7 linked regions of the Mus musculus genome follow. The protein of the gene in region 3 interacts with the protein of the main gene of each other region in a pairwise test. Links are inferred from orthologs where the notes say so. Each region holds a gene or a part of one and is shown on either strand. Other genes may lie near its edges. The genes, in order: Meox2, Tceanc, Card9, 9330159F19Rik, Tasor2, Cdca7l and Pak7.

Evidence for each region.
Region 1: the proteins of Card9 (region 3) and Meox2 interact in binary tests that used the Homo sapiens proteins (3 or more experiments, as listed by UniProt). The two-hybrid records come from large-scale screens. The link is inferred for Mus musculus from reciprocal best matches to the Homo sapiens genes CARD9 and MEOX2.
Region 2: the proteins of Card9 (region 3) and Tceanc interact in binary tests that used the Homo sapiens proteins (3 or more experiments, as listed by UniProt). The two-hybrid records come from large-scale screens. The link is inferred for Mus musculus from reciprocal best matches to the Homo sapiens genes CARD9 and TCEANC.
Region 4: the proteins of Card9 (region 3) and 9330159F19Rik interact in a two-hybrid assay, tested with the Homo sapiens proteins (2 studies listed by BioGRID and IntAct). The two-hybrid records come from large-scale screens. The link is inferred for Mus musculus from reciprocal best matches to the Homo sapiens genes CARD9 and KIAA0408.
Region 5: the proteins of Card9 (region 3) and Tasor2 interact in binary tests that used the Homo sapiens proteins (3 or more experiments, as listed by UniProt). The two-hybrid records come from large-scale screens. The link is inferred for Mus musculus from reciprocal best matches to the Homo sapiens genes CARD9 and TASOR2.
Region 6: the proteins of Card9 (region 3) and Cdca7l interact in binary tests that used the Homo sapiens proteins (3 or more experiments, as listed by UniProt). The link is inferred for Mus musculus from reciprocal best matches to the Homo sapiens genes CARD9 and CDCA7L.
Region 7: the proteins of Card9 (region 3) and Pak7 interact in binary tests that used the Homo sapiens proteins (3 or more experiments, as listed by UniProt). The two-hybrid records come from large-scale screens. The link is inferred for Mus musculus from reciprocal best matches to the Homo sapiens genes CARD9 and PAK5.

What each region holds. Positions count from the first base shown.
Region 1 is NC_000078.6:37,106,780-37,111,372, forward strand, and holds the start of Meox2 (homeobox protein MOX-2), read left to right. Parts: upstream 1-1,760; 5' UTR 1,761-2,051; coding exon 2,052-2,565; intron 2,566-4,593. UniProt on the Homo sapiens protein: Mesodermal transcription factor that plays a key role in somitogenesis and somitogenesis and limb muscle differentiation. Required during limb development for normal appendicular muscle formation and for the normal regulation of myogenic genes.
Region 2 is NC_000086.7:166,507,558-166,512,159, reverse strand, and holds the start of Tceanc (transcription elongation factor A N-terminal and central domain-containing protein), read left to right. Parts: upstream 1-1,681; 5' UTR 1,682-1,867; exon of another isoform or gene 1,868-3,020; intron 3,021-3,153; 5' UTR 3,154-3,254; intron 3,255-4,413; 5' UTR 4,414-4,451; intron 4,452-4,602.
Region 3 is NC_000068.7:26,354,680-26,358,092, forward strand, and holds part of Card9 (caspase recruitment domain-containing protein 9), read right to left. Parts: intron 3,405-3,413; exon of another isoform or gene 3,337-3,404; coding exon 3,032-3,336; intron 2,966-3,031; coding exon 2,786-2,965; intron 2,650-2,785; coding exon 2,506-2,649; intron 2,205-2,505; coding exon 2,079-2,204; intron 846-2,078; coding exon 654-845; intron 245-653; coding exon of another isoform or gene 218-244; exon of another isoform or gene 193-217; coding exon 151-192; intron 1-150. UniProt on the Homo sapiens protein: Adapter protein that plays a key role in innate immune response against fungi by forming signaling complexes downstream of C-type lectin receptors.
Region 4 is NC_000076.6:29,221,370-29,225,171, reverse strand, and holds part of 9330159F19Rik (uncharacterized protein KIAA0408 homolog), read right to left. Parts: intron 3,387-3,802; coding exon 3,042-3,386; intron 2,952-3,041; coding exon 2,872-2,951; intron 938-2,871; coding exon 1-937.
Region 5 is NC_000079.6:3,569,340-3,573,141, reverse strand, and holds part of Tasor2 (protein TASOR 2), read left to right. Parts: intron 1-2,704; coding exon 2,705-2,830; intron 2,831-3,500; coding exon 3,501-3,654; intron 3,655-3,802.
Region 6 is NC_000078.6:117,871,270-117,875,071, forward strand, and holds part of Cdca7l (cell division cycle-associated 7-like protein), read left to right. Parts: intron 1-814; coding exon 815-1,168; intron 1,169-2,451; coding exon 2,452-2,523; intron 2,524-2,626; coding exon 2,627-2,797; intron 2,798-3,414; coding exon 3,415-3,537; intron 3,538-3,802. UniProt on the Homo sapiens protein: Plays a role in transcriptional regulation as a repressor that inhibits monoamine oxidase A (MAOA) activity and gene expression by binding to the promoter.
Region 7 is NC_000068.7:136,385,059-136,389,468, reverse strand, and holds the start of Pak7 (serine/threonine-protein kinase PAK 5), read left to right. Parts: upstream 1-1,501; 5' UTR 1,502-1,775; coding exon of another isoform or gene 1,776-1,815; intron 1,816-4,410.

The sequences.
Region 1 (4,593 bases), on a different chromosome or scaffold from region 3:
GTTTTAGGTTCTTTTTTTTTTTTTTTCCCCTAACGAAGTCTGCAAAACTAATTTCCCTCAAAATAGGGCTCAATTTCCGTTAAAGAAAGCAGTGCTTACAAATCTTGGAATTCCTGATCAACCCCCACTCCACCCCATCTCTAAGTTGTGCAAAACAATTCGACTTTTCACACGGATGTTAAAGTTTGTTTGGAAGTTCCTTTTCTGGAGAACCTCTTAAAATAAAGGGTAACAGACTGAAGATGGCAGAAGGAGCGGCAGAGAGAAGGGTTCTGCCTTGGGGACATTCCTCCAAAATTCATCAATACCTTTTCCTAATTTAAACCAGATGTCTAGTTCAGGTTGCTGTACTCATTAATCCCATTAGCAATTTCAAAGACTTGGCCATCATCTTCTGGTCACCCAGACAATAAACATATGGCAGTTAACCATAGTGGCACACTCCAAGTCCTGAACACCCTAGGCTACTGCAGACATCCCCTTGGCAGACACTTCCTAGATAGGAACAGGCTTTCCTGCAGCCCACTCTCCCAAGCTTGTTGTGGGTTAAGGACAGGACTTCCAGTAGATTCTGTGGCCGCCCAAGCTAATTGCTGTGTCAACCCCAGCCCCTGCTCTCACAAATTCACTGGTGGCAAGGTGTGCAGTTAGTTCATTTCCAGGAGCACAGGCTGTAAACCTGGGGGAAATGAACCATGATAGCAGGGTCCACGCTGAGGGAATGTTAAGTTTGCTATCTGCTTAAAACAGAAAGGTGGTGAGGAATGGAATGTATGCAAGGAGCATTAGCTCTGTGAGCTAAAGAGAGATTTCATTTCTCAAAGGATGGGAGCGGGCTGTGAATTGGCTCCTGCAGGGTTAAGCTAGCTAGGAAGGGTGAAGCTGGGAGCAAGTTAGACTTGCTCATTTGACATTTTTTCGGGTTATTCTTGACCCCCCCCCTCCCAATTTCCTCGGTGAGCAAATGGTGAGAAAATTTCGCGAACTGGACTGGTAAAGAGAAGTAGGGGTGGGAAGAGGGTCAGAAAAAGAAGGAAGGGGGACACCACTTGGAGCAACACTTGTGTGTCGCCAAGGCGCCAGAGCCTACATCCACCTCTGTGTCGCGCACACCCCATTGTATATCTGTCCTTTCTGCACTCAGAGTAGCACTGTGCTAGCCTTGGTGCACAGCTCTACAACCTCCGCCCTGGCTCTAGGTTTTCTAACAATCTATTCTCAGATACCTAAAAGAGAATAAACCTAATGTGTTTACGCTGGAACCGTGAGTGGCCTCTGAGTTTGAAAAGCTCGACAGACTAGGCTCTTCTTCTCTTGAAAGTTCTCTTGAAAGTTCTCTGTGGTCTGCAAAGTCAGGGAGTAGTCAGGGAGCTCCTGCAGGTGACCCCAACCCCCACCAAGGCTGAGAGATCTAGGTTCCAAGAGCAGTGAGCTACTCAGAGACACTGTGTGCTGGCTTAGGGAAGCTGAGTGCCTCTGCGTCTGGCCATGGGAACCTATGGGACAGATTGCGGTGGCCCGGAGCGACTGAGGCTCTGGGAGCACCACTAGCTGTGGTGGAAGCTCCCAGGGCCCGACGGGCGGGCGTTGGGCAGCGGCTCCTGTCCTGCCAGCAATGGGAACTGGAAATGAGAGAGCACGGTGGCGCTGACTGAGCGGGAGTTTTGGAGGGAGTTTGCATGTGGTCAGCGCTGGGCTCCTAAGCCAGCCCCCAGCTCACATTACACTCTATTTATAACCTCTCAGAGCCATTTCCCCCTGAAAGCAGTTCTCTGGGACCACCTTCTTTTGGCTTCCACCTCTCCCACACTTGACATCTGAGCAGCTGCGAAGGAAGCTCCTCCAGGTCCTAGTGTTTATACGTGCAGGAGACTGGCCGCTAAGGCTCAGGACTGGGATTAGCCGGCTCTGCTCAAATGCAAACGCGCGCGGCTTTTACTTTTGGAGTGAGTGGGGGAAAGTCTTAGGATTTCCAGTGAAAAGTGACAGCGCTTGGTGGACATTCGGACCGTCCGTGAAGTCTTCTGCTTGGAAGCCGAAACTTGCATGCCATGGAACACCCCCTCTTTGGCTGCCTGCGCAGCCCCCACGCCACAGCGCAAGGCTTGCACCCCTTCTCCCAGTCTTCTCTGGCCCTCCATGGAAGATCTGACCACATGTCCTACCCCGAACTCTCCACATCTTCCTCGTCTTGCATAATCGCGGGATACCCCAACGAGGAGGGCATGTTTGCCAGCCAGCATCACAGGGGGCACCACCACCACCACCACCATCACCATCACCACCACCAGCAGCAGCAGCACCAGGCTCTGCAAAGCAACTGGCACCTCCCGCAGATGTCCTCTCCACCAAGCGCGGCCCGGCACAGCCTGTGCCTGCAGCCTGATTCGGGAGGGCCCCCGGAGCTGGGAAGCAGCCCTCCGGTCCTGTGTTCCAACTCATCTAGCCTGGGCTCCAGCACCCCTACCGGGGCCGCGTGCGCACCAGGGGATTATGGCCGTCAAGCGCTGTCACCCGCAGACGTAGAGAAGAGAAGTGGCAGCAAAAGGAAAAGCGACAGCTCAGGTGAGTGCGGGCAAAGCAACCCTGGGGAGAGTGCGCTCTGGGCTAGGAAGATGCGGGGAGGTGTGGGATGTTTCTCATAGAAAGACAAACTGTGAAGCTGCTAGCCTTTCCTCGCTCTGGTGGGCGAGTTCATCCATGGAGCGTCCGTCCTGTAATTCAGGAGCACGTGTTTCACTGAAGTTAATATATCTACATCCAGCCGTTCAAAGCCCTCCAAGATCGCAAATCAGTTTTCCAGAAGTGGTGAAGAAAGAGCAAGTGACACTATGCAAAATCGGTTAAGGGAGCGTGGCGGGTCCCTCCACGGGTTGGGAGGGGTGTGCCCATTGGGATGCTGCATCCGCTGGGCATGCATGCCTGCGTGCGTGTGTGCGTGCATGCGGGTTTCCTTGACTTTTCCCTTCCAATTCCCAACTCTGAACAACTCGACTTTTCCTATCCTTAACTGGGTTTCCAAATTATTGCGCAATGCCTTGAACTTTAACTGGATTTGACCAAATACGAGAAAAAGAAAAGGAAAGAAAAGAAAAGAAAAGAAAAGAAAAGAAGAGGAGGAAAAGAAAAAAGGAAGAAAACGGAAAAGGAAAGAAAAAGATAAGGAAAAATTAAAGAAAGAAAAAGAACAGAAACCTAAAACTTTTTTTTTAATATTTTTGCTTTCAGAGTTCCTTAAATAGCACCTTTCTTAAAATGATATTTAAAAAACAAACAACCCCTCCCCAAACATTCTATTTATTTGGCGAAAAAGTAATTATCTAGTAATCTAGAAGTGTTTAAGGAATACCTCTGAAAACTTTGAATAAAGAGTATTCTTATAGTAATTACACTCATATGGTGCTAACCTGGTTTGGGGGGGGGGGGGGGACGGGGACGGGAAACAAGCAAAAAGTCCAAATCAACCAACCAACCAAAACAAAATGTTTGAACTTCGACTGTGGAAAATAAAAGCCTTCATCAATTGAGTAGTGCTTTGAGATGCAGTGGAGAAAGTGGACAGATAACAGTCCTGACAGTGCTGGAAGAAGATGCAGGGAAGGTGTGGGTAACTTGAGCAGTCCTACAAAAGGGGAGCCTCCCAGAAGAATTCAGGGGCCTGGAAGTCCAATAGCCAGTGCATCCTGACAGCACAGAGAAACTAAAAATTTCCAGGAAACACAACAAAGCCCTTAAATACATTCCTCATTGTAAATGTTCTCTCTCTCTCTCTCTCTCTCTCTCTCTCTCTCTCTCTCTCTCTCTCTCTCTCCTTCCTTCCTTCCTTCCTTCCTTCTTTCCTTTCTTTCTTTCCTTCTTTTTTTCTTTATTGAATCTTCTATGTAGTTACAAGGCAACCTGGATACAGATTTAGAAAGACGTCACTTAACTAGTAAAATGTTTACATATATTACGTTTTCTGTGCTAGTGTCTCGAGAGAACATATAATTCTAGGCAATAGTTTGAAGAATTGAAAAATAATAGCATTTTAAACATTTTAGGCAAGGTGTTCTGCAGTGTAGGGCAGTAAGGGCTGTGTATTTTGTAATGTGTTGAAAGATGATAGAAATTTTTCTTGACCTCGGTGTGGGGTGACTCCTTGCTTCCCAGCCTCACTATTGAACCTGTAATTTTTCAGGTCCTGGGTGAACGATTAATGATGCTTCATCATGATTAGTTATGTCTAAGAACTCGGTCATCGCTGTTATTCTGTTTACTGGTTATCTCTAACTGTATGTGAAATCCTAAGATACCAAAAAGGTTCCTAAGAAGGCATCAGAACGCACTGGGTTTCCCCAGATTGGGCATTTATGAGCAGAAATGCATGGATTGCTTTGGCAGGTTGCTATCTACTTCAGGGAGGACCAGAAGCTCGGATTCCGTGTTTTCTTTCCGCAAGGGGGAAACTGCGCTGCTTCTTAGCTGAACCAATGCCCTAAAGATTATTTGCGCACACGAAGGAATTTTTTTTTTTTTTCAGGCACAAGTTATTTTTGGTTGGGGAAACAGGGAGAGTGAGACTAAAAACTGACTTCCTTAGTTTATTTTAACAAA
Region 2 (4,602 bases), on a different chromosome or scaffold from region 3:
TACAACTCAGGGAGGAAAGGATTTATTTCATCTGACAGGCTACAGTCCATAATTGAAGGAACTCAGGGCAGGAACTGGAAGCAGGAACCATGGAGGAATGCTACTTACTGCCTTGCTCCCAAGTACACATCAACTACCCTTTTGTATACAGCCCAGGCCTAAGTACTAAGGATAATATGGCCTTCCCACAGAGGGCTGAGCCCGCCTACATTAATTAGAAATAGAGAAAAATGCCACACAGATGTGTACAATTTTTCAATTGAGACTCCTTCTTTCCAGGTGTGTCAAGTTGACAAGCAAGACCTTGCAGTTTTGTAAATCAATTATTTCCGAGAACTTCAACACCAAATGGTGTTACTTTCAGAGTGATAAACCATAGCAAAAAACAAAAAAAAAAAAAAACAAAAAAAAACCAAAAACTTCTAGACTGGGCCTAGTGATACACACCCATAGTATCAGCACTTGGAGAGCAAGAAGATTATCCTAGTTTGAGGACAGCCTGGACTACATAGTTGTAGACCAGGCTAGACTACAGTGTGAGAATCTTGTGTTTAAACCAAACCAAACCCAAACCAAGATTGCTTTGTAATCATACCCTAATACTAACCGTTCAAAACAGAAAAATAATCAGGCATCCCTTATCCTGATCAGTGTGAGTTCCTTGTCCTCCCTCTGCTGAGGTAAAATCTCTTACATTCATGACCAGATCACCCTGCTGTATCCCTGCTATGAACAGATCCAGTACACAACACTGAGGGGTTGCTTCCTTAAATCTTTTCCTGAATTGTTTTGGCATTGGAGGTCAAAGGAGTCTGCCACATTTTCTAGTTCAATTATCACTGTGGTTTTAATCCTTGAAGGCAGACCATGTTCACACATACACTCAGGTTTCTTGTAACTAATTACTGAATGGTTACTACTTCCTTTCATTCTTGTGATGCATGTTATATGCTTGTTGGACTAATTACTGTTAGGCATGACAGTAATTATGGCTTGCCTTTTTGCTGCCTGGTTTGTTAGTTGAGAGAGTCTTACTATGTAACCCTAGCTGGTCAGAAACTTATGGACCTTCTCCCATCTCTGCCTCTGGAGCGCTAGTATTATATGCCACCAGGTTTAGCCATTTTTATATTGATTTAAAAAAAAAAACCCAACCATTTATTATTACAGACCATCACTGTTAGCCATTTATATTTTATTTGATTGTTCTTATGGAGGGTTTTACATTTGTTTATTTTTATTTATTTAGGAAGGCGAGTACCGGGTCCAGCCTGTTTAGTTTTGCCCCAGGCTGTCCTCGAACTCGGGATCCTCCGGTCTCTGTACTTTAGTCTTCAGCCTTTGCCTACTGGGGTCCATCACCACAGCCAGCCTGTTTTTATTTTTGTCCCATCTGTTTTACTGGTTTGACGGAAACTAAAAAGAGTAAGCGCATCAACAAACGTTGCCACTGAAACGCAGCAGCCGGGTTAGTTTCACTTCGGGCCTTAGCTCCTCTCTCAAGGGACCACTCTGCGAGGCCCGCGGCCGCTCTGCGCAGGCGCCAAGTCCAAAGCACCTTAGCGTCCAATCCCACGCCCACGTTGGCTCGCCGGAACCTTAGGACTGGTGCAGGCTCTGTCGTCCGGCCCCAAGAAACGGAAGTTCCCTCCAGGAGGAGGCGGCACCGCCCACTGGAGGGCGGCGCCTGCGCTTCTGGGCGGGCGGTGCTGCGGCCGCTAGGGCAGTGACCGAGCATCTCCGATGGCGGCGTTCCGCCATTTCCGTTACCTCGGCCCCCGCGGAAGGGCTAACTCCCGGGTCCAGTGGAAGGCAATCCCGGCTCGCAGGGGCGCTCTGGTGCTCCCCGTGCCCAGGCTGCTCGAAGGTTGATTTCCTCCTCCCTTTAGGTGCTGTCATTGGAGCGGGCCGGAAGGCGCGCCGCCATGGCTGTACGGCCTCAGGGCCGTCCCCCGGGGTGGATTTCTGCAGGCTTTGTTTAGTAGTCAACCCCACCCACAGGAATCTCTCTGGGCGGGCCGGTTCCTCTCCCTGTCCCTTCCCCCGGGATCCTAACGTGGCTGCCTAAAAACAACGCCCCGCCAGCGTCTCGTGTCCTAGCCCCCCAGCCCCCCATGGCCCGTCCATTCCCTTCTGAGCCAGGGCCTTGAAGCTTGACCGATAAGTTTAGCCTGGAGCTAGAAAATTTCTCTTTTTTTCCCCTCCTGGATGTTGAGAGAGATTTAAAGACTGCTGGTCTGTTCCCTAAGCCTCTGGAAAATTTCACAGTAACTTTCCTGTGCTTTTTCTTCACGTTTGGACGATTTTAGTGCAGATGTGTGTATGCCCTTCCTATAATTGCATATTCCCAGGCGTCTGCATGCATTCAGGCAACACATGGTAGGGCCGACTCTTGCTGTCACTATAAAAGGTTTTGTATGTGCACACACATTGTACACACACACACATATACATACTCATACACACACTGGTAAATGGTAAAATGTACACTCATATATGAACTACAACTGCCATGAAATGTGTCTGATCTGGATTGGAGTGTGTTCGAGTGTAAAGCACAGCAGACTTTTGTTTTTGAGAATTAACACAAAAAGGAATTAAAATACCCTTTTATCAGATTTTGAAAGGACAGTATTGGGGCGAAGCTTAGGTGTAGCTCAGTAGTAGAGCACATACTTTAATCTGCCTAAGGCCCTGGGTATGAACTCTGCCACTGCATTTTAAAGGAAAAATATTTTAGCTAAGTAAAACTAGAATTAATTCCAACAAATTTTAACATACTATCACACATTTAAAAAATATCTTTGTGGCTTGAAATCTTTATATGAGATAGCATTGCTCTACAAAGGGTGCTTTCAAACAGTACCCTGTGGCCAAACACAGACTGCCCACATTCTCTTTTGAAATACAGTCTCTTGTAGCCCTGGCTGGCCTCTTTCTGACCACACTGGCTTTATGAGGTGTGCATAGAGGGGGGTGGGCTTGAGGAGGGTGCAAACTCAGTGCCCTGTGCATGTTAGGTAAGTGCTCCACGAACTGAGCCTCATCTTCAGACCCCCTCCCTCAACACACACACTTTAAAAAATAATTTGTGCTAATCAACTTAGATGTCTTCCTTAATTACTGTCCTCCCCCCTCCCTTTTTTGAGACAGGGTCTGACACTGAACCTGAAGCTCACCAGTTCAGCTAGACTGCCTGGCCAGTGAACTCCAAAGACTGACCTGTCTCTCCCTTCCCGTTGCTGGAATTACAGGTGTGCACCATAAGCCTGGCTTTTTATGTAGATGCTGGGGATCAAGACTCAGGTCCTCATTGCACAGCAAGCAGTTTACCACCTGAGCCATCTTCCCAGTTCCAGCCTGCCTTATTAGGTTTAATTGTATATAGATGTGTGGGTATATGCATGTGAGTGCCAGTCCTACAGGAGGCCAAAGGCATCAGGTTTTCCTAAAGCTGGGTTATAAGCACTTGTGAACTACCCAGTATAGGGTGGGAACTAAAGGGGATGTAGGGGAAGGAGGCAGGAGGGAGGATAGCCCAAGCCCGGCCAGCGTTCCTCCTATGCTCTGGGCAGGCAGACGCCGTAAGGCTGCCAGAAGCTTTCCACTCAGCCCGGGTGGGCATTTAAGCCACTGACCCCACTTGACAGGGGGTGGGGTGGGGTGGACAAGGGGCAGCCCCTGAAACCAGGGCCCCCAGGACAACACCCTGTTGCCCCGGCGTTATGGGAGCAAGGGCTGAAGGAAGAGAGGTAAGGGCTGAAGGAAGAGAGGTTCCCACACAGGTGAGAGTAAGTGTAGGGGGCCTTGATGAGCAGAGACAGTCTATGGTTTTAGAGCTTTATTGTAGAAAGGCAGGGGGAAAGAGAAAAGAAAGGCTAGAGAATAAGAGTAAGAGAGTGAGAGGAGAGGAGAGAAGAGTAAGGGGAGTAAGAGGAAGAGAGCGAGGTGGAGCCAAACAGCTCCTCTTATGGTTTGCTGTAATCTTTACTATTGCTAGGTAACTGGGAGGAGTTTAGCCTGAAGGTCAGAAGCTTGGGACATTGTCTACATGACTACTAGCCATGCTTCTCCTGTGGGGGTTGAGGGGAAAGTAACTTCGACAGGAGCCAGGGTCCAGGAGACACGAGGGAACGCCTTCCATCCCATGTAGGTGGGAATTACCACCACTGGGTCCCGGGGTTCAACATCTAGCCTCAACTGGAAACCAGGCTGTCTGTGCATAGCCCAGTGCCCCACAGTGTAGGTGCTGGAAACTGAACCTGGCTCCTCTAAGATAGCAGTACACAACTGCTTAACCATCACTCCAGCCCCATTCAGTATTTGCTATCTGTTTGTTCTGCTGCAAAAGTAATAGAGTTAAATAGTCCCTGCACCAGAAGTCTAAAGTATTTCCTATCTGTCCTTTTACAGAAAGTATTTGCTGGCCTCCTGTCCTGGAAAAATAGCTGGTATGTAGATATTAAATCTTTTTTAATGTTTTTTTTTTTAAGACAAAGTCTCACTATAAAGCTCATGTTGTCTAGACTTGACAAACATCCTGCCTTAGCCTCCAGAGTGCTAGGATATATGTGTCAGTATACTTAGAAAGATTTATTCATT
Region 3 (3,413 bases):
TAGAGTTTGGCCAGCACTCTTCCCTGAATCCAACCCAAAATGAGAGAAAAGGGACAGCCCAGTTTAAGGGGACAGGACCATGTGGGAGATGAGTGTGAGGTCAGGTAGAGGTTGAAGGCCAGGGAAGGACCACTCTATGTCCACACTCACCTCCTGGGAGTTCCTGGGTGAACTGTCTTCCAAGTCAGAGCTCTGTGGCCACAGAAAAGGGAGTTGGTCAGTGGGCTGTAGGGGTTCCAAGCACCTGGGTATGGGGTGTGTAGGGCATGGTAAGAGCCCCATCCAGGCTCCATCCTCTAGGGAGGCCCTGCACATGTTTCTAGATATGCCCAGAATATGTCTTTCTTAACACTACACTCCAAGCCACCTGAAGGTTACTCCTTGGTCAAGGCTGCAGTCATTGGAGTGGTGTGGATAACCTTGAGTTACATCTGTGGCTGTCACTTCGCCATGAAGAGCTCTAATGAGGAAAACTGGGATTTAGGAAGGCCAGGCATTTTCCGAGGCCACAAGCAGGGCAGCAGTCATGGCAGGTTAGTGATAGGGCTGCTTCCAGGCTGATGGTTCCTCTTGGAATCCTGCCTTGACTTCACATCCTCCCCAGCTCTCTCACTGCCCAGCCCACCCTGGCGACAGCAGACACAGAGGCCTACCAGGATGAGCATGTCCAATTGCTGCTGCTTGAGTCTGCCCTCGGCGGCCAGTAATCGGCTCTCCGTCTGGAACAGCTGTAGCTGCAGCTCATCTGCCTTCTCACCCAGCTCTCGAACCAGCTTTCGAAGCTTATCTTTGTCCTGAAAGCTTTGGGTACACTGTGCATGCAGCTCTTCCCTGGAGGCCATAGCCTGTAGGAATAGCAGAGGGCACACCCTCAGCAAAGGACCTGGTTGATGCTCTTGGCTCTCATTTGGCAGTTCAGGTCCTGGCTGGACATCAACCACCCTGGTGTATGGCTGGAACTGCTGAACTGGAGGGATTCTCAAAGCAGTCAGGGCTCTCAGTGTACATGAACAAACCCTGGGCGGAGTTGGAAATGACCAGATTCTTAGCACTGGGGAGGCAGAAGTGGGATCAATAGTTTAAGGCCATCTTTGCACATATATTGAGTTGAAGGCAAGATTGGATTACATGAGACACTGTCTCAGACAACAAAACAAAACACTTCAGAGAAGCAGCCAAAAAAACCCGTGATTAATGCTCAGTAGTTCATAGGAAGCCCAACTGAGAAGTCCTACATCCCCAGCAGATAGCCAGTGGGTGTTTCTGTCCCACCTATGTGACATATTTTATAAATTCTGGATGCAGCTTGACATTAAAAAACAAAACAAAAACAAACAAACAAAAAAAAAAACAAACAAACCAGGATTCATGGCTGTTCTTAAATGAACACAAAGGTTTTTTTCTTTTGTTTCTTGGAAGACAGTTTCATTATCCCAAGGTGGCCTCCTATTTACTGTTAGCTGAGGTTGGCCTTGAATCTCTGACTCTCCTGTCTTTACCTCTAAATCCGGGGACCAGCATGCTGGGACTGCCATGTACTACCAAACATGGCTCAGCTGCTACCGCTTTTGTTATTGTTAGTGGTGGCTTTTTGAGACAGGGTCTCACATTGGACCCCAAACTGGCTTGGAATTCATGGTAAATCAGGCTGCCCTTAAATTCACAGTAATTATTTTGTCTCAACCTCCAACTGCTGGGATTGCAGGTGTGAGTTGCTACTACTGCCTCTGCCCGGGAGCCACCACAGGTTCTTGTACCAAATGCTCCCTACCCACAGCCTATGCACCTAGCAGCTTCCTCTCCCTACTGAAGTCTCCCACCTCCTTACCCCACCCCCACCCCCACCACAGGGACTGCTGTGTTCTCCTCCCGCATAAGCTCCTCCTTTGAATAAGGTAGACTTTGATGCATTTGTACAAGCAGTCCCGGGTTCTGTCTTCCAACACTGCCAAGTTACCCTGAGCATAAATAAAAAAAACAAAACAAAACAAAACACTTTGACTACTGCTCCAGTGTCTGCCGCACCAATACCCCAACACTCCTGGTTCTCCGTTTCTGAACACAAGTGTGGCACCTACCTGGTCCCTCTCAATGGAGACCTCCTCCATCTGCAGCAGGATAGCCTCGATACGGTCCTTGTACATCTTGGCATCCTTGCGCAAGGCCAGGCACTGCAGCTCGAACATCTCCTTTTCTTCCGTGCACTACAGGAAGCACCACTCAGCCTCACCCTCCCCTCCCTCCTCCTCCCCCTGGGCTGGACTCAGAGCAACAGCTCCAGGGCACACAAGGTCTGGGATAATGAGGAAGGCACTGGAGTTCCAGTCCAATCTAATCCAAGACTAACCTAGTCTAAGACCATGGCCTCAGCCACCATTGGTCACACTGTAAGCCCAAAGGGTGACACGGCACTACTGTGTACTGTACGAATTGACAGTGAGCCAGGTCCCAGACCCCACCATCCAGGATCCCAGTGGGCATTGCTTGTCTGCCCTGGTCTCTCACCCGGGCCCGGAGGGTCTCAGCCTGGCGGAGGTCCTTCCGTAGGGAGAAGATGGTGCTGACCTGCTTCTGGTGTTCCTGCAGTGCTTGACGCCAGTCCTCCTCCAGCACTTGAATGTATGGACTATTCCTGTCTAGCTTACCCTCCTGGAGGTGTCAGAAGGCAACAAGCCTGGCTGAGGAGGCCCACAATGGCACGGCCACTGCAGTTGTACCATCTGGTGTGCCCAGCTTCAAGCCCCTGCAGGCATGAGGCCTGATGTGCACTGGTGGGTCTCCCTACCTGCACAGAGACCTGCAGCTCCTGCACCCGGGCCTGCAGCAAGTCCTTTTCCTGCTGTAGTTCCCACAGCAGCTCCTGACTAGGCCGCTGCTCCATGGCGTGCCTGAGCTTCAGTGTGTGTTTGCGCTCCACCTTGCAGTCATCCTCGGCCTTCATGAGGCTGTGCCTGAGCCGGTCCACCTGTGGGTGGCCCAGTCAGCTGCAGCCTCCTCCAGGCCACCCCCTGCAGGTGGAGAAAGTGATTACCTCAAGCTGCAGGTCACGGTTCCGCATGAGTGCTGCGCCCTTCTCTTCACTCAGATGTGCCAGGCACATGGCCAGCTCATAGTTCTCGTCCTTGCAGCGCTTCAGCTCCGCACTGCTCAGCTCACACTCCTCCTTGAGCCGCTGCACCCGCTCCTGGTGCTTGCGCAGTAGGCTGTCCTTTACCCTCAGCTCCTTGATGAAGTCGTCCTTGGAGCTCAGAAGGGCCGTCAGGTCCTGAACCTTCTTCTGCAGCTTCATGACCTCTGTCATCAGCAGCTGCGTCAGGCCAGACTCCCCTGATGCATCTGGGGACCATGCGGTGTCAGATGGAGCCTGCGGTTGTCACCTGCAGACCCCGTGCTGGTCCTTGTCCGTAAGTGTG
Region 4 (3,802 bases), on a different chromosome or scaffold from region 3:
TTCGGGATCACTGAACACATTTTCCATGGGCACAGACACATTGTCACTAGCTTTCAGAACACTGGTCCCACTGTCAACTTCTGATAGGTAAGCTTTCTGAGCAGTGGAGATATCACAGGAATTGAGATTGTCAGGCGATTTTGTATAGATGTCACTTTGCTGTATTGCTTGACAACTTCTGTCTGTTCTAAAAACAGTTCTGTTAAACTCGTCAATCTTTGCAGCCAGCTTTTCATTCCTTGGAGTTGGTTCACAATTGCAGTCGTAAATTCTAACTGGGTCCCTCTGTGTCACTGAGGGAAGAAAGTCATTTTTCACATGAAGATCAAGATGCAATTTCGTAGGGTTATCTGGAAATACCTTTTCAAATTTTGCTCCACTGGAGGTAAAACTGGTTTTTTGAGACGGCCTGGAAGGGCTCTCTCTTGTACCTAATATAGTGTCACATGACCACAAATTAAGTCCAGTGTCTTTGTTACCTGGAAGATTTCTATCTATTTTGACTTCTGGTGTCCAAGAGGAAAACATGGTACTATCTTTCAAACTCTTGCCTTCTTGTGGAAACAACGGAGACTGCCTCAAGAGGAAATGAGGATTGTTATCTGTTTTGTCTTGAATCTCATGGGCCACCCACCTGTGGTATAAATGTTCCTTCAGTCTTTCTTGGGCTTGTTCAGAATATGAGCTGGGGAGATTTCGAGAGGTACTTCTTGGAGGGGGAGTTGGCGGAGTTTCGCCTCTTTGTAAACCAGTTGTACCAATTCCACAGTTGTTCATAGAATTGCTTTGGAGTCCATAGGCACAGCTCAGATTCTTTTTCTGCATTTCTTTCTCCAAATTGGTTGGAAGAATGCCCTGACCTTTGCTGATCAAGTGGTCCTGAGGAGGCACAGGGATTGCCTTTGGCATTTCCTGGAGAACAGGATCTGATTTCATCCTAAACATAAGTCAAGGTGCATTAGTGACAATTTTCTTTTCAAAATGAGCTTTGTGATATGTGATATATAAGTAATGCTATGTGATATATAAGTGATGCTGTATAGAAATACTACGATATATAGGTGATGTGGTTATGTAACACACACACACACACACACACACACACACACACACACATTCTAAATCCACTTACTGCAAGTCCTCCTTATTGTAGGATAAAGTTGTCAGTGTTACATTCATGGATCTAACCCAAATTTTATTCACCAAATTTTATCATCCCTCATTTTCCCTATAATCTGAAAGTTATGCTAGACTCAAACTAGACAATGTAGTCCTTGAGTTTCTGCTCTTGACATTCCCATTTCTAGGCTTTCTTCTGCTATATAGCTTTTCTTCCCCTTTCCCTATGCAACTTCTATTCCCTACTCATAATTTCTCTTTAGACTTTCTCCTTGGGATATAAATAACATTATCATGAGTTCTAGGTAACTCCAAATGCAATGTGCATTTGAACTTTAAAGGAAAATAAGATTATATTTTAGTAACCAAAGAAATGAGCTCTGATAAAGTGTGCCTACTGAGCAAAGAAAGTGATAATGAATGACACAGAAATACTAGACTGCAGCAAATCTTAGAACAGTCTCTTTAAATCACACATTGAGGCTCTGAAATGCTTTCTGGAGGCCATAGGGATGACTGTGAACACTTTACATTTCAATGTTTTTGGCTTTTTTTTTTTTTTGGAGAATTTCAAACAACATAATTTGCTCATATTCTTTGATCTTCCCTCAACTCCCCTCCCAGATCTTCCCTATCTCCCTACTCACCCAACTTCATGTTCTGTTTTCACCATGAGAACTTTGAACTAATTTGATTTGTAAATGAAAGATATCAAGTCTCTGTATAAAACACAAACAGAGCAACAATATGGACTAACAAATCAGAAAATCACATAAGTAAAATAAGTCATACTGTACAACTTATAAAAAGCTTCTATGACAACTTATAATGATGTACAATAAGCACATGCCAACAAATGACAACAGGAAGGCTCAATGGGCAGAGAGGGGGCAGTGCCCAGTGGCTAACAAACTCTACTGCAAGTCAGCACAGAAATTCGCGATTTCCAGACAGCTAAATAATAATAAGGAACCTCACTCTAAGAGAATATCAGATTTCTCAATGAGCTAATTATTGATAAAGAATAATACATATTTAGTATGCACATAATTCTAAATTATTATTTTTTTAACTTAGCTAGAATTTAGTTTAAGCTTTCATAGTGATTCTGACCTAATACAAGAGATTGGGCCATGTAGACATATAATGTGTTATTTTGAAATGTACATTTGCTTATGTCATATCCACATCACTGTTGAGAAATAAATGACCCAGCTTTAAAGTGCTTAAATAGAACATCTCAAATTGTTCAAACACCACATTGTTAAAGCTGTCACAGTTTAAGCCAATTTAACTGGGTTTGTCTATTTGTATATTCCCCCTCTGGTCAAAACTCTGATGGAGAAAGAACTTCAGTAGAGGATACACAGTCATTTTGTACAGACTGTCTACTTTGCCTAAACACTGAAAGAATACAATACACTATTCCTTATTTTTGTTTTTTTTTCTTTTTCAAGACAGTGTTTCTCTGTATAGTCCTGGCTGTCCCGAAACTCACTTTGTAGACCAGGCTGGCCTCGTACTCAGAAATCCGCCTGCCTCTGCCTCCCGAGTGCTGGGATTAAAGGCGTGCGCCACCGCACCGGCTCAATACAATATTCCTAATACTTAAGTTATGAAAAGTACTGGAAGATGACTTTTAAGGATCATGAGCTAAGATATACATGATGAGTCAGTGTAAATTCATAAAATAAAACCAGAATTCTTTTCTATTCTCTGGTCTACAGAGATCATATGTGTTAGCCAGCCTACCTTCTGTGGTTAGAATGCTTTTGGATTTCCTCTTGAAAGGTGCACAATTCTTCACTAACTTTTGCAAGTTCTTCAAGAGCCTTCATAGCATAGCACATAAAAGAGAGCTTTTGTTAGCGTGCTGAAATGCTTCTTTAGAAATAGCTCCCGGCTGACCCCATCTTACTTACTGTGTTAAGGGCGACAGAAAAATCTTTGCTCTCCTTAGAAGTGTTCTCACCAGCCCAGGTCTCACATGCCTTCCTGTCTGTGGCCAAAGGATTCCAAAACTCCACTTTGGTTTCTGTGTGTATGTTTTGTTTTGGAGACCCTTGACTTTCTTCCCCAAGGAAATTCCTTTCTGTTTTCTTTTCCTTTTCTGGATCATCTCGGTAATTCAGCACTCTTAATTTGCATTGTGCCGAGTTGAGGTGATTTGGGGGAAATTCCATTTTATCTTGATCACGGCAAAGATCAATGACCTTAGAATATTCATTCATGTTCATCTTCCTCTGAAGCTTTACTTCCTGGCAAAGCTGTAAAAATTAAAAATTAAAAACTTATTTTTCCTAATTTACTTGAGCAATGAATTCTCTTAAAGGCATTCTCACTTTGTAGCCCTGGGTAGCATAGAACAAATTCTGAAGTCCAGAGTGGCTTCAAACTCTTAAAGATCTACCTGCCTGTGTGACTTGGAAATAAAGCTGTGTGCCAGTATTCGCAGCTTTGATCAATATTCCTAATACTAAGCAAATCATTTGAGTTCTCTCTGCAATATTACAGTGTACTACCATTGGTGTTAATGCTTGTGTATATAGGCAGTGTCTCTAAAATAGGAATTAGCCAGAAAAGTTTTGGGGAACCATAAACCATAAAGACTAATTTTAGTAAGGCAATGCATGGACATTACATTCTATTTTTCTGATGAGAAATCAACTCATTGTCAAATAAA
Region 5 (3,802 bases), on a different chromosome or scaffold from region 3:
AGTAAAATGTGAGTCAGCATATGAAGGCCTGATCACAGCACTCATTCAAAAAGCTGTGTATGTGGTCTGTGATCCAAACACTTGTGAATTCCTGGGGCTTGCTGACCAGCCATTCTAGTCAAATAGCTCTGGGATAGGTAGAAAACCCTATATCAATATGGTAGAGATCAATAGAAGACACCTGAATACCAACCTTGGTGCCCACATTCATTTTTACACAGAACTCACACACCAAATATCCTTTTCATTGATGATACACTGGAGGGAAGTAGGTAATAAATTCTGAAATGAAGGCATGTCTGTCATGGTAACATTTTGGGAAAAGTAATTTTTATACTAATTCAGATATATTCTACAAAGGGCTTAGTGATGCAGACAAAAACAAGGCAGCAAAAAACAAAATATGTAAAACAGAGGGAACAGAAGGGACAAGAACCCAGCTTGCAAGGATGACAGGCTGGTCAACATCACTGGACATAGGTTACTGTCAAGAGATGACTTTGGAGACACATGAAAGAACCATGCTAGGAAAGGACTCACTAATATTTTTTTAAAGGTATTAGCAGGGATCGTACAGATGGCCCAGCAGTTATAATACTCGGCTATTCTTTTTTTTGTTTGCTTCCTTGCTTTGTTTTTTGTTTTTTTGTTTTTTTTTTTTTGGGGGGGTTTTTTTCGAGAAAGGGTTTCTCTGTGCAGTCCTGGCTGTCCTGGAACTCACTCTGTGGACCAGGCTGGCCTCGAACTCAGAAATCTGCCTGCCTCTGCCTCCCAAGTGCTGGGATCAAAGGCGTGCGCCACCACACCCGGCTATACTTGGCTATTCTTGCAGAGGGCCTGGAGTTGGTTCCCAGCACCCACCCAGTAACTCATAACTGCCCACCGGCTTTTGAATGGTTTGAAAATAATGAAAATATTTCACCATGAGCCCACTGTTTATAATAAAGAGTAACATGTTTGTACAAAGGTACAATTTTCAAGTGAAGAAATGAACACATACTAAAATTAACTTGAGATTTATATGTGTTCAAGAGCACAATGTGTGTTGGGTGTGGTAGCAGTTGGCTGACTGAGATGGGAGAATTACAGATGGTTTGAAGCCTGACTCTCACAGCACAGAGTTCTATAAGACTTGGAAACATTCTGAATAACTCTGGCAAGTTGTGAACTATTCTTTAGTGTTGGGATGCAGGACTGTTTGTAAGATGAGGATCTGCAAACAGTGACAGATCAATCTTAAATATTTCAGTAGACTATTAAAAGAACTTGATTAAAAATTATATTGTCCCTTTTGCGTGATAATAAAATAGTCAGTTTGCCTGTTTGGGAGATCCAAAGCAGACAAAGTAATACATCACAAAGACAATAAACATTCTGACTGCACGTGGAGTATAGTTGGGGTGTCCAATGGCAAGCCGTAATCCTTCATGCAAAAGCATTACATAAGAGGCGTAAGGGAGGATGGGGCTAAGGAAAGTGCATTACCCTTTTATTCAGATATGGACAGCCAAGGAACAATTAACTCTTCAAGTTGGTTCTCATTACTGGTATGTTGCTAAAATTCTCGGTATATAGTAAACGTAACAGCATTATGTAAACACCTAGCAAACCTGTCCAGTCTCACTCCCTTGAATGTGAAACTTCATGTATGCGTACTATTTTGGACTTCTTTTTCTTTTTTTCTTTTTTTGGTTTTTCTAGACAGGGTTTCTCTGTATACCCCTGGCTGTCCTGGAACTCACTCTGTAGACCAGGCTGGCCTCAAACTTAGAAATTCGCCTGCCTCTGCCTCCCGAGTGCTGGGATTAAAGGCGTGCGCCACCACGCCTGGCTAAGGACTTTTTCTTTAAAGCAGCCTATGATATTTTATAAACTGCTTTTATCACTAAAATGAACTTCTTGCTTGGGCTGCTGAGATGGCTCAGTAAGAAAAGAGACCGGACACCACACCTAACAACCTGAGTTGGAGCCCCAGGACCCAGGTGGTAGGAGAGAACCAAATCCTGAAAGTTACCACCTGACCTCCACATGCAGTCCATGGCATGTGTGTGTGCATCCGTTTACATATATACACAAAAACACTAATAATTGAACTAAAAAGAGAAATCCAGGGGGCTGGAGAGGTGGCTCACAACCATCTGTAATGGGGTCTGATGGTAATGTAATGGGCCCTCTTCTGGTGTGTCTGAATACAGCCACACTGTACTTATATACATAAAATAAATTTTTAAAAAATCTTAAAAAAAAAAAACTGAAATCCAGTTCATAATTATGTGTGTGTTTATTTAGTAATAAGACCAGTAGCTATTTGCGCTACCTTAGAAATAGGATTTCCTTTTTTTAAACATATTGTTAAATATTTTTGTCTGCTTCGTATTGAGATGTGTTCCTAAGTAGCTGAGGCTGGCCTAGAACTCATAATTCTTCCTCAGTCTCCCAAGTGCCAAAAATATATACATCACTATGCCCAGCTGGTGGCTTGATTTTAATATATAAAAATAGTTGTACCTGGGCATAGTGGCACATACTTTTAATCCCAGCACTTGGAGGCATAGACAGCTGGATCTCTGAATTTGAGGCCAGCCTGGCCTACATAGTACATTCCAGGGCAGCCAAGGTTATAGAGAGAGACTTTTTGTCTCTAGAAACAAAAAGTTCTGTACAAGTATCCTTTTTAAATAACAGCTGTTTGTAAATTTTTCAGAGCATTCTAAAGAAAGGAGGCCATATAGAAATTGAACTTCTGGATTTCTGTCAAGCGTTTCACAGAGAAAATGAGACACTATTAGTTATCATTAAAAATGAAGACATCATTTCACATTTGCATCAAGTAAGTTTTGTGTTCTAGGCACTGACACTGTTCTGTAGTATCATAAGTCATCATTGCTATTCTGTGTAGAGGTATAGCCGACAGACTTCCATTGATCCTTTAGTGGGAAGATAATCCCTGAGAGTACAGGGTGGAACTCTATAGAATCATGCAGGTTCTGTAGGGCAGGTTAATAGTGTGTTAACTGAGGGAGAACTATGAAAAGAGGTACTTCATGTCTGACTGTAAGAAAATCATGCTTTGAAAGGACTTCTGTAATGTTTACCTGCTGGTTGACAAATAGTTGTTTGCCCAAGAAGCACTTTGTGGACAGTGGATAGGTACATATTTCTATTGTCAGTAGGCAGTGACATGAGCCTTGTGGGTTTGGCACCACAGGTAAGCTGGAAGCAGAGTGAGTTTGAATGACCTAGCTATTTATAGGTCCCCTGAACTTCAGTCACGTTCTTCTCTCATGAACCATTTCTAAAGTCCTCTTTTTAATTAATTTTGGTGAAGAAATGGCCACTAATGAGAAGGTCAGAACCACTCTTTGTTTCAAAGTTGTCGGTTAGTGATCTTGGCTGAAGATACCTTATTTTCAGCTGTTCAGGGTCATTGAAATCCATGGGAATGTTAATTGTTGCCTGCATGTGCCTTTCCTTATGGAAGTCCCTTTATGTCATAACAGATTCCTTCTCTACTGAAGCTAAAGCATTTCCCCAGTGTCGTCTTTGCTGGAGTGGACAGCCCTGAAGACATTGTAAATGAAACCTACCAAGAGCTGTTTCGATCAGGCGGCTTTGTGGTATCAGATGATGTCATACTAGAAAGTTTAACATTAGGTTAGTCTTTAATTTTGAAATCTAATTAGTTCAGTTTCTCTTCTTCCAGTGACATACTGTTTCATCAAAAAGAAATCACTTACTGTATATTGAGGGCTTAATTTGTGCCAATTGCTGCACTACATGCTTTTACTATAGTAATTCAATT
Region 6 (3,802 bases), on a different chromosome or scaffold from region 3:
TTCAAAAAAATACCATGAGGCAGATGTTTTAAAAGAGGTTAACTGTTTAATGCTAACTGGAAAATAGAATATTTATCTGAAAGTAGATACTACCACTTCCTTTGCTGGTAAGGTGAGTTTAGTTTATGCTGTTTGATGTCATTAGCTTTTATACAACCTTGGACACATACCTGCATAGGGCCAGTTGGTAGTGATGATGGCTTTCCCTATCCCTCACCTTTCCTCAGGCATCTCTTGGGGCATGTAAGTCCTCGTAGTCAGCTGTCTCACCCACTCTGCCTGGGCCGATGCTCCTGCTCAGACATCCCACTGTGCCCAGTGTTTTTTCTCAGATGTCTTAGATTGTCATCAGCAAGACACTAAGATCTTCCAAGACTTGATGGGTTTCATGTCTGGGTGACTTCTTTAACTACTAGTAGTTTTTAAGCTCAGTGATACCTAGTTAAGGAGTTTTTGTTTCTAGTGAAGGAAAATAAATTGCTCCCAAAGCCCCTTAGATTCTATATACTGCAACACACACACACACAATTCAGCGTAGGCCCACTCAGATTTGGTTAGAGAATGCATTGAGGACAGATTGTATTAATGAGCTTTCCATCACTAGAACAGAATACCAGGGTTCACTGTGTGTGACTCACAGCTTGGAGGTTTCCATGTATCATCCGTTGGCTCTGTTGCTCCGAATCTGGTGAGGAAGGAACGTGTGGTGAAGCAAATTCTGACCTGCATTCCCACCTAGAACAGTTTTAAACACAGTTGCCTGGTCTAGTGTTGGTACAGATCGTTTTTATCCTTCTTTCTCCTTGTCCCTTAGCTCATGGAGTCGGAGCTGAGTGACAGTGACAAAGCATACCCTGTGATGAATGATGCGGAGGAAGATGATGAAGAGGAGGCTGCACCTAGAAGGGGCAGGTCCACAAGAAGAAGCAGTTTCGGTCTTCGGGTAGCCTTTCAGTTCCCCACCAAAAAATTGGCAAGAACACCAGATAAAGATAGCTCACACTTGCTGGACAGTAAGACGGATCTTAGAAGAAAGAAGAGCTCCAGACAGCCCAAGGGAAAGGAGGACTCTGCTTCTGATGCCGAGGATGAGTCCAGAGCTGAGAGCCAAGAGAATTCGGATGCTCTGCTGAAAAGGGCCATGAACATCAAAGAGAACAAGGCTATGGTATGCTCTTGCAGCAGCAGCTGGGACCATAGCCAGCTGCCCCAAGGGTTGCTGACACAGCTTTGCTCTCTGGAGAGAAAGTATATCCTGGGCACATTTGTTACACGATTAGCTCTGGTTTGGGGATGGAAAGACTCAAGAACCGTTTATCCCTGCTGTGCATGGTTGAGCAGGCTAAGTTTAAGTTGGCAGAGGCACTGGAGAATAGATAAGCTGACCAGCTGCACTGTCCCCAGCAGAAAAGAGGAGCTGGGCTGTCATTGAGCCCAGGGAGAATTACGGTGGGCAGGTGGTGGCTTCTGTCTGAAAGCCGTTCCTTCAGAGACATCATCTGAAGGAATGAGAGATGGCTACCATTGAAGCAGCCGCTGCCATGTTCTAATTCAGTTATGCCTTGGCTAGTGGTTAGTTCAGCCTAGCACAATCTAGAGCAACCTTTGTTACATGTATTTGGGTTTTCTATGTGTGGACAGTAACCTCAGCCCAGTTATTGAAAGTAATTCTTCCTAATTTTACACTGGCAAAATTAAAAAGAAATTCTACCAGTCATAAATTCTTTCCTCCTCTTTGGTGGCTTTTTAAATGCCATCCTTTAAAAAAATGCACAATATAGTGATACTTTATACACAGACCTACACCTAAGAGAACACTCTTGTCTGTTTGTGTTTATCTGTATGTGTTTGTTCTTAGTGGTCTCACGTTTACATGAATCTAAAAAGAAAATCCAGAGGAAAGAGCCTGGTTGGTTGGTGTTAGGTCTTTGGCGATAGTGACAGATGTCTGAAGGTAGGAATTTTTGAGGTATAGATGCAGGGAGACCAGACTTGTCTTGATCCTAATCCTCTTGCCTCTGCATCCTGGTGCTCAGACTACAGCATGTACCATGACTTAAGCCCCAGCAAGTGTTTTGGTTGATCTGGGAGTTCTGAGGGTCACCCAGCTGATTGGACATGCTGGGTTTGATTTTAAGGTTTGTAAAATGTGCTTCAGGTCACACTGCTATGATAGTGGTGAAGTTGGGACCTGATGCTCCTGGCCCCAAACGTGTCAAGACAAACATATCTTCGTTGTGTTCTATTGTTTCTGTATATAAGGAAGGGGTATGATGTTGACTTGGATGAACAATGAATGGTGTCCTCCTCTTACTCAGGAGGTGAAGTCTTACATGAGACAGATTTATGGACGCTATATAGGTAGTTCAGAGAGATTTAAGAGGTGTTGGCCCCAGAACTGTCTCCTTGACTGATGTCAGACCCCCCCCCCCCTTTCTTTCTGAACCTTAGCTTGCTCAGTTGTTGGCGGAATTGAATTCGGTGCCAGATTTCTTCCCTGTTCGGACACCACCTTCGGCTTCTGTAAGTGAAACTCTTGGTTTCTTAGACTGGCCCTGCTTCTGAGAACCCATAGCTTTCTGTTTAAGGGGAACCTAGTTACATATGTCTGTGTTCTTGGTTTTAGAGGAGGCGAACACCACGACGGGCCTTCTCAGAGGGACAGATCACACGGCGCATGAACCCAACCCGGAGTGCACGACCCCCTGAAAAGTTTGCTCTGGAGAACTTCACCTTCTCAGCCACCAAGCTTACTGAAGAGCTTTACAGTTTCAGAAGAAGAAAGACAATCAGTGGGGTAATTACTGACTAATAAGCAAACGGGCCTCAAGTGCAAGTATTTCATTATGCTAGGGCTGGCTCTGGTGTAGTCTTGAGTCAGCAGGCTTCCAGCAGTTGAAAACTTGAGTTTCCACCATGTTCCTGTGAGAGCATGGGTTGAGAAGACCCTTGGGCTGGCTAAGCTGCAGATAACTTAAGAGTCCTTTGTCTAAAATGAGCCTGAGGAGCTTGGGGGACTCAGGGACTTGCCCAGCATGCAGGAGGCCCTGGCTTTGATCCAACTCTACCAGCAAAGCCAAGCCAGCTTTGTGGTTGTGTACTCTGAAAGATGCAAGAGTTTCTCCTTGTCTGCTTCAGGAGTGGCTGTTGGGGAAGAGGGAGGAACTTGGGGGCTGCCCCCTATGTGGGCAGGCTGTTTACTTCCTTGTCTTCTCCAAGTTTATAGCTCCTCCATCAATGCAGTATTGCTCTCCCAAGGGAGTGTGGGTTGGGGCAGGAACCCAGTAAATGACCATACAGACAAAGGACACTCATTAGACTTTGCATCTCTAAGCACGTTTAAGATTTTCATTCTGATTTTCAGTGTGTAGATGTGTGACAGGTACTCCTGTTTTATTTTGTTTTTTTCTTCAGGGGAAATGCCAGACGTATAGACGTCATCGGATATCTTCTTTCCGCTCAGTGAAAGACATCACTGAGGAAGACTTGGAAAACATTGCCATAACTGTGCGTGATAAAGTCTATGATAAAGTGCTTGTAAGTGACATCTTCAGGAAAGTGTGCATCACTGGTAACCTCCAACACACTGGCATTCAAAATCTGACATCTCGCCTTCTGTCCCTGTGCTGTCCTCCTAAGTCTTGCTCTGAGCTGTGTGGTCAAGGATCCAATGTACCAGGGGGAAAACGCAGACCACCTAACATAGTAGTCCTGCCCAGGGGCGAGGGCTCCCTGGGGCATATGTTGTAGAAGATTGGTACTGGATTGGAAAAGCATGTCTATATTTTATATGTTAAAATTG
Region 7 (4,410 bases), about 110 Mb from region 3:
ATGGCCATGGGACAGCAATCCAGTTGGTGAGAGGTGAGGTAGGGCTATTTGAGCAGTTTCAAGCATTGATAAATTTATTGACTTTAGTCATATGAATGGGAAAAATAGGATTTGATAGGCCAAGATACATATGTCCTTCACACTTAGAAACATCAGTGGAGAACAGTGACCATCTATCTGTTCTGTGATCTATTTTTTAAAGATTTATTTTTATGTGTATATATGTGTCTGGATGCTTCTTTGTGTACCAGGTGGAAAAAGGCACCACTGATACCAGAGGAGTGTGTGAGATCCACTGGAGTCAGAGTCACGTACAGCTCGGACCCACCCTATACAACTGAACCTGGGACCTCTGGATGGGCAACATGAGTTCTTAACAGCTGTGGCAATATCTTTAGCACCAGCTCCTGCCATGATTCTGTTTTGATATATAAGTTACTTCAGTGAAAGTAGTGTGTGAACAGATAAGCCACGGGGACAGGAGATGATAAGCATCTACTATTCACTAGCAAACTGGCCCTGTTTTATAACCGACTTATTCAGTTATAGGATCAGACACTATATTCTCATAAGGACAATCTAGAGATCTCTGAGGATGAAGAAGGATGTGGCTCTCTCAAAACCAAGATTAAAGTCTCTTGGTTGGTTTTGTGAATTGATTGGTTTCATGTGGGCAGTGACTAATCTCAATATTACCGATACCTCCTGTGGTCTTTTGCTCTCAAAAGACCAGTCAGTCTCAACTGTCAAGCCCAGCCTTGACATTACATCGAACCTCTCAGGTTTTGTCCCAGGCTCAGAGAAGACAGGTAGACAGTCAGGATAGACTGGTTCAGGCTTGAATTGGACAACAGGTCAACAACAGGTCAACTGACTGAGCACGAGTTTCCTAGTCTCAAGTATCAAAGCGATTGTGAATTGATCCAAGAGCCCATCGTCTCCGAAACTCCTAATTCTAGATCAAACTAATGGTTTTATGCTGTCTTCAGTGTGTGCCCTACAAAGCCTCTTTCCAGGAAAGGCATGACATCCCAGGGGACATCCTCCCTTGAACCGCTGCTATCATCAAAAGCTGAAGGTAACTCCTTAGGCTGATAAGTCCATTGCTGATTAAAGACTCCATGACCAATTAGAGGTTATAGAAGATGTTTCTGGATTCTTGCACCTCCTGACCTTTCAGAGGACCAGCCGAATGGCACGGGGACTTTCAGGACCAGGCAGTTGAATCCAAATCTGTATTTTAAATCAAAGGCTCATTAAAGTTTGCGAAGCACAGGACCAGGTGATGCTAAAGAGACTAGCTAGCATACTGATGTAGTGCGGCTTTGCAAAGGTCCTATAGAAAATTTGGACAAACTGGGATGTTCAGGGAGGGGTATGCGGGAGTAGCCCGCAGGGGGATGGTAGAAGGAAAGTGTGATCCGATTGGCTGTTTTCTCCAGCTCGGGCGTGCAGACACTCCCTCCACACTCCCCCTTTCACCCCCCTCAATTGCTACAGCTTTCCTACAGCGGGCTGCTCCTAAAACCCGGAGCAGCTGAGTGGTCTCAGCGGACAGTCCTCCTAGGGGCGAAGCCAGGCGGCTTGGGCATGCTCAGTAGCTGGGAGAGGTTTGGGAGGAGAGTAAAAAGCTTTGACTCTGCCCCCACCCCCTCCTCTAGCCCCCGCCCCCCTTGCCCCTTCCCAGCCGTAGTAGTTCCCTGGCGTGCGCCCGTGGAGAGCAGGAACATGGCGCTTGGAGCGATATAACAGATGTAGCAGCAGCGGAGAAGCAGATGAGGTACCGCGACTTCTCTGCTGACAGCCAGCCACCAGGTAGGCAGGAGCACCGGGCAGGTCGGCTTATGGGTAGCGGCTCCAGAAGGGGCGCTTGCCAAGATGCGCACGGTTGCTACACCGGGCATCTGGCTTTGCCTAGAGAGGATGCGAAAGGAGACCTCTATGACAGCACAATTGATTGTGCATCTCCTAGGAGATGCCAAAGGCTGGGGACCTCTGAGAATGGGCAAGGGATCCAGGGTCCGCCCACTCCCCAACCCCCAATCTTTGCGATATCATCCAGCTTGGGCTCTTCACCGGTCAAATAAAGGATAGCGCTCTTATGCTAGGATGGAGGGCGTAGGAGATCACCCTGGATGCCAGCTCTAGGAGTCTGCTGGTACCCCGAAAGGCTAGCAAGCCCAGCAGCAGTTCTTTGTGTATGCACTCGCGCACGCCCTGCCGGTGATACGACAGTGCCTGCTGCTCCCAGGGAGTGCTGGATGCATTGCCAGGGCAGGGTTCCCATATGGTTTTTGTCTTTTAGCAGGTGTGGACCACCAGATGCAATAGCGGAACCTTTATGGGACTGTGTTTTCCTTTGTTGTTTGTCTCTGTTCGCTTAGTGGGTTGCAATGGATTGGGAAAGAACTTCTGCTTGTGAACATTGGTGGACAGAATGTGGAAGAGAATATCACTTCCAAACTCTGGTTAAAATTCTGTACAATGTCAGTCTCCTAGAGGATAAACTTGGAAAGTCTCAGGACTGTCAAGTGTCCAGTTTAGGGCACAAATGTGAGCATCCGTTTTGAAACCGAGTGTGTCTGGAGCTTTCCATTGTGATAGGGTAGAAGTTAATTTGCCAGCATTCATATCTCAATTAAGGGAGCCCTAACCTTTCAAAGAACTGAACAGATCTTTTAAATATTAGAGTAGTAAAGAAAAAAATGTCTTGGCCAATAATTGATAACGACTTGGAAAACTGGATACACTTCTGGGGAAATAGGTACTTCACAAAACATCAGAGACCCTCTTGTGGCATTTGGTGTAAAGGCAGCATCTTTAATTTACAGATGGACACATTACTCCCTGAAGAAGTCCCTCCTACACAAGCCTTCTTAAAGTTGACATTCTGCAACAACAGATGTGACACCTTACAGTTGTATCTGTTATGATTAGCAGCATAGCCCCCTGAGAGGGAGGAAAGGTAAATTTAGAACACACCTTCATCCCCTGTTTTATCTTTTCAGGCTGGGCATCTGTCTGTGAATATGAAGTTTAGATACTTTCCTCTGCACTTACACTATTTATTCTTATGATCTCCTTAGGTGGCAAGAATGAGTCAGTATTGTGATAATGAAACAGAGACTGCAGGAGGGAAATGAATTTAAGTAGAGTAAAGCTATAAGTGTCCAATCTGATAACACCTTGACTTTGAATACACGTGTGCAAAGCAGAACTTCTAATGAAAGCTGTAGAAGCTAATGGCAAGTTCATTGACAATACTTGTAGTAGAATAAACTTCGTGTTCCTCTGTGAATAAGAGATTGATTGTACTCAGTCCTTGCAACTTATCATTTAATTAACAAACGTGAGTTTTGATTGTAGGCATTGAAAGCCGAGGTTGCCAATGCCTTTCCTACATCCTCAGAATATGCTGCAATGGACAGGCACCAGAGACAGATGTTCTGGAATACAGTGTCATTTTAGTGATGAGATAAAGCTAAATTTGAACTCTGGTTCCTCCGTATTTAGGTGTGGGATTTTGTGGAAGTGATTTAATGTATCAGCAACAAAGACTTGTGATTCACAAAGCAAAGCCCACATAAATGGATAGATGTAGACATTAATAATAATACAAAGAAACTGGGCATGGGGAAATCTCTTTGAGAAGGACATGTATGTGTTTGGAACCCATGTTATATGTATTTGCTATGCAAGTCAAATTCAATTTACTTTTACTGAAATACTCCAAATTGTTTTATTTCTTAGCACTGACATAGCCATACACCCCCAACTTGGTAGCTTAAAGAAGTAGAAATTTATTGATGCAGATCTGGGTATTTTCTGTCTAATATCTCAGTGTTAGCATGGCAATCCTCTGATGCTCTTAGGAGAAGGTGATTCTTATAGTCTTAGACATACCTTACCCCAATCACGTTATTCTGTTTCTACCTTCATGTCCATGTGTTCTCCTCTCTGTGTCTGTTCTCCTGTCCATGTTTCAGTCTTTATGTAAGGACACTGTTCCTATATCATTTAGAGCTAACTATAGCCTTGTCTTAATTCAATTACAACTGCAAAGATCAGACTTGTAAAGTAGGTCACATGGACAAGTTCAGGGTTGTCATTGAGTTTAGGGGAGAGAAAATTTAACTTACTTTACTAACTTTTCTAATAACAATGATAGGATCAATACTATGCCATCAAGTTTCAGAATATGAAGAATAGTATGGGTTCAAAAACCCTGCTGGCATGGGATATTTAATGTAACTAACTTATCTGAATTTTGTGTTCCCAAGTGTGACAGTGAAGGGAAGGGTGATAGACACGTCACCATGAGTCACTTACATGAAAACTGAAACAAAGTGGGACTTAGGCTTTCTATACGTGCTGAGGAATTTCATACGTCTTCTCCCTTTTGGGCTATAT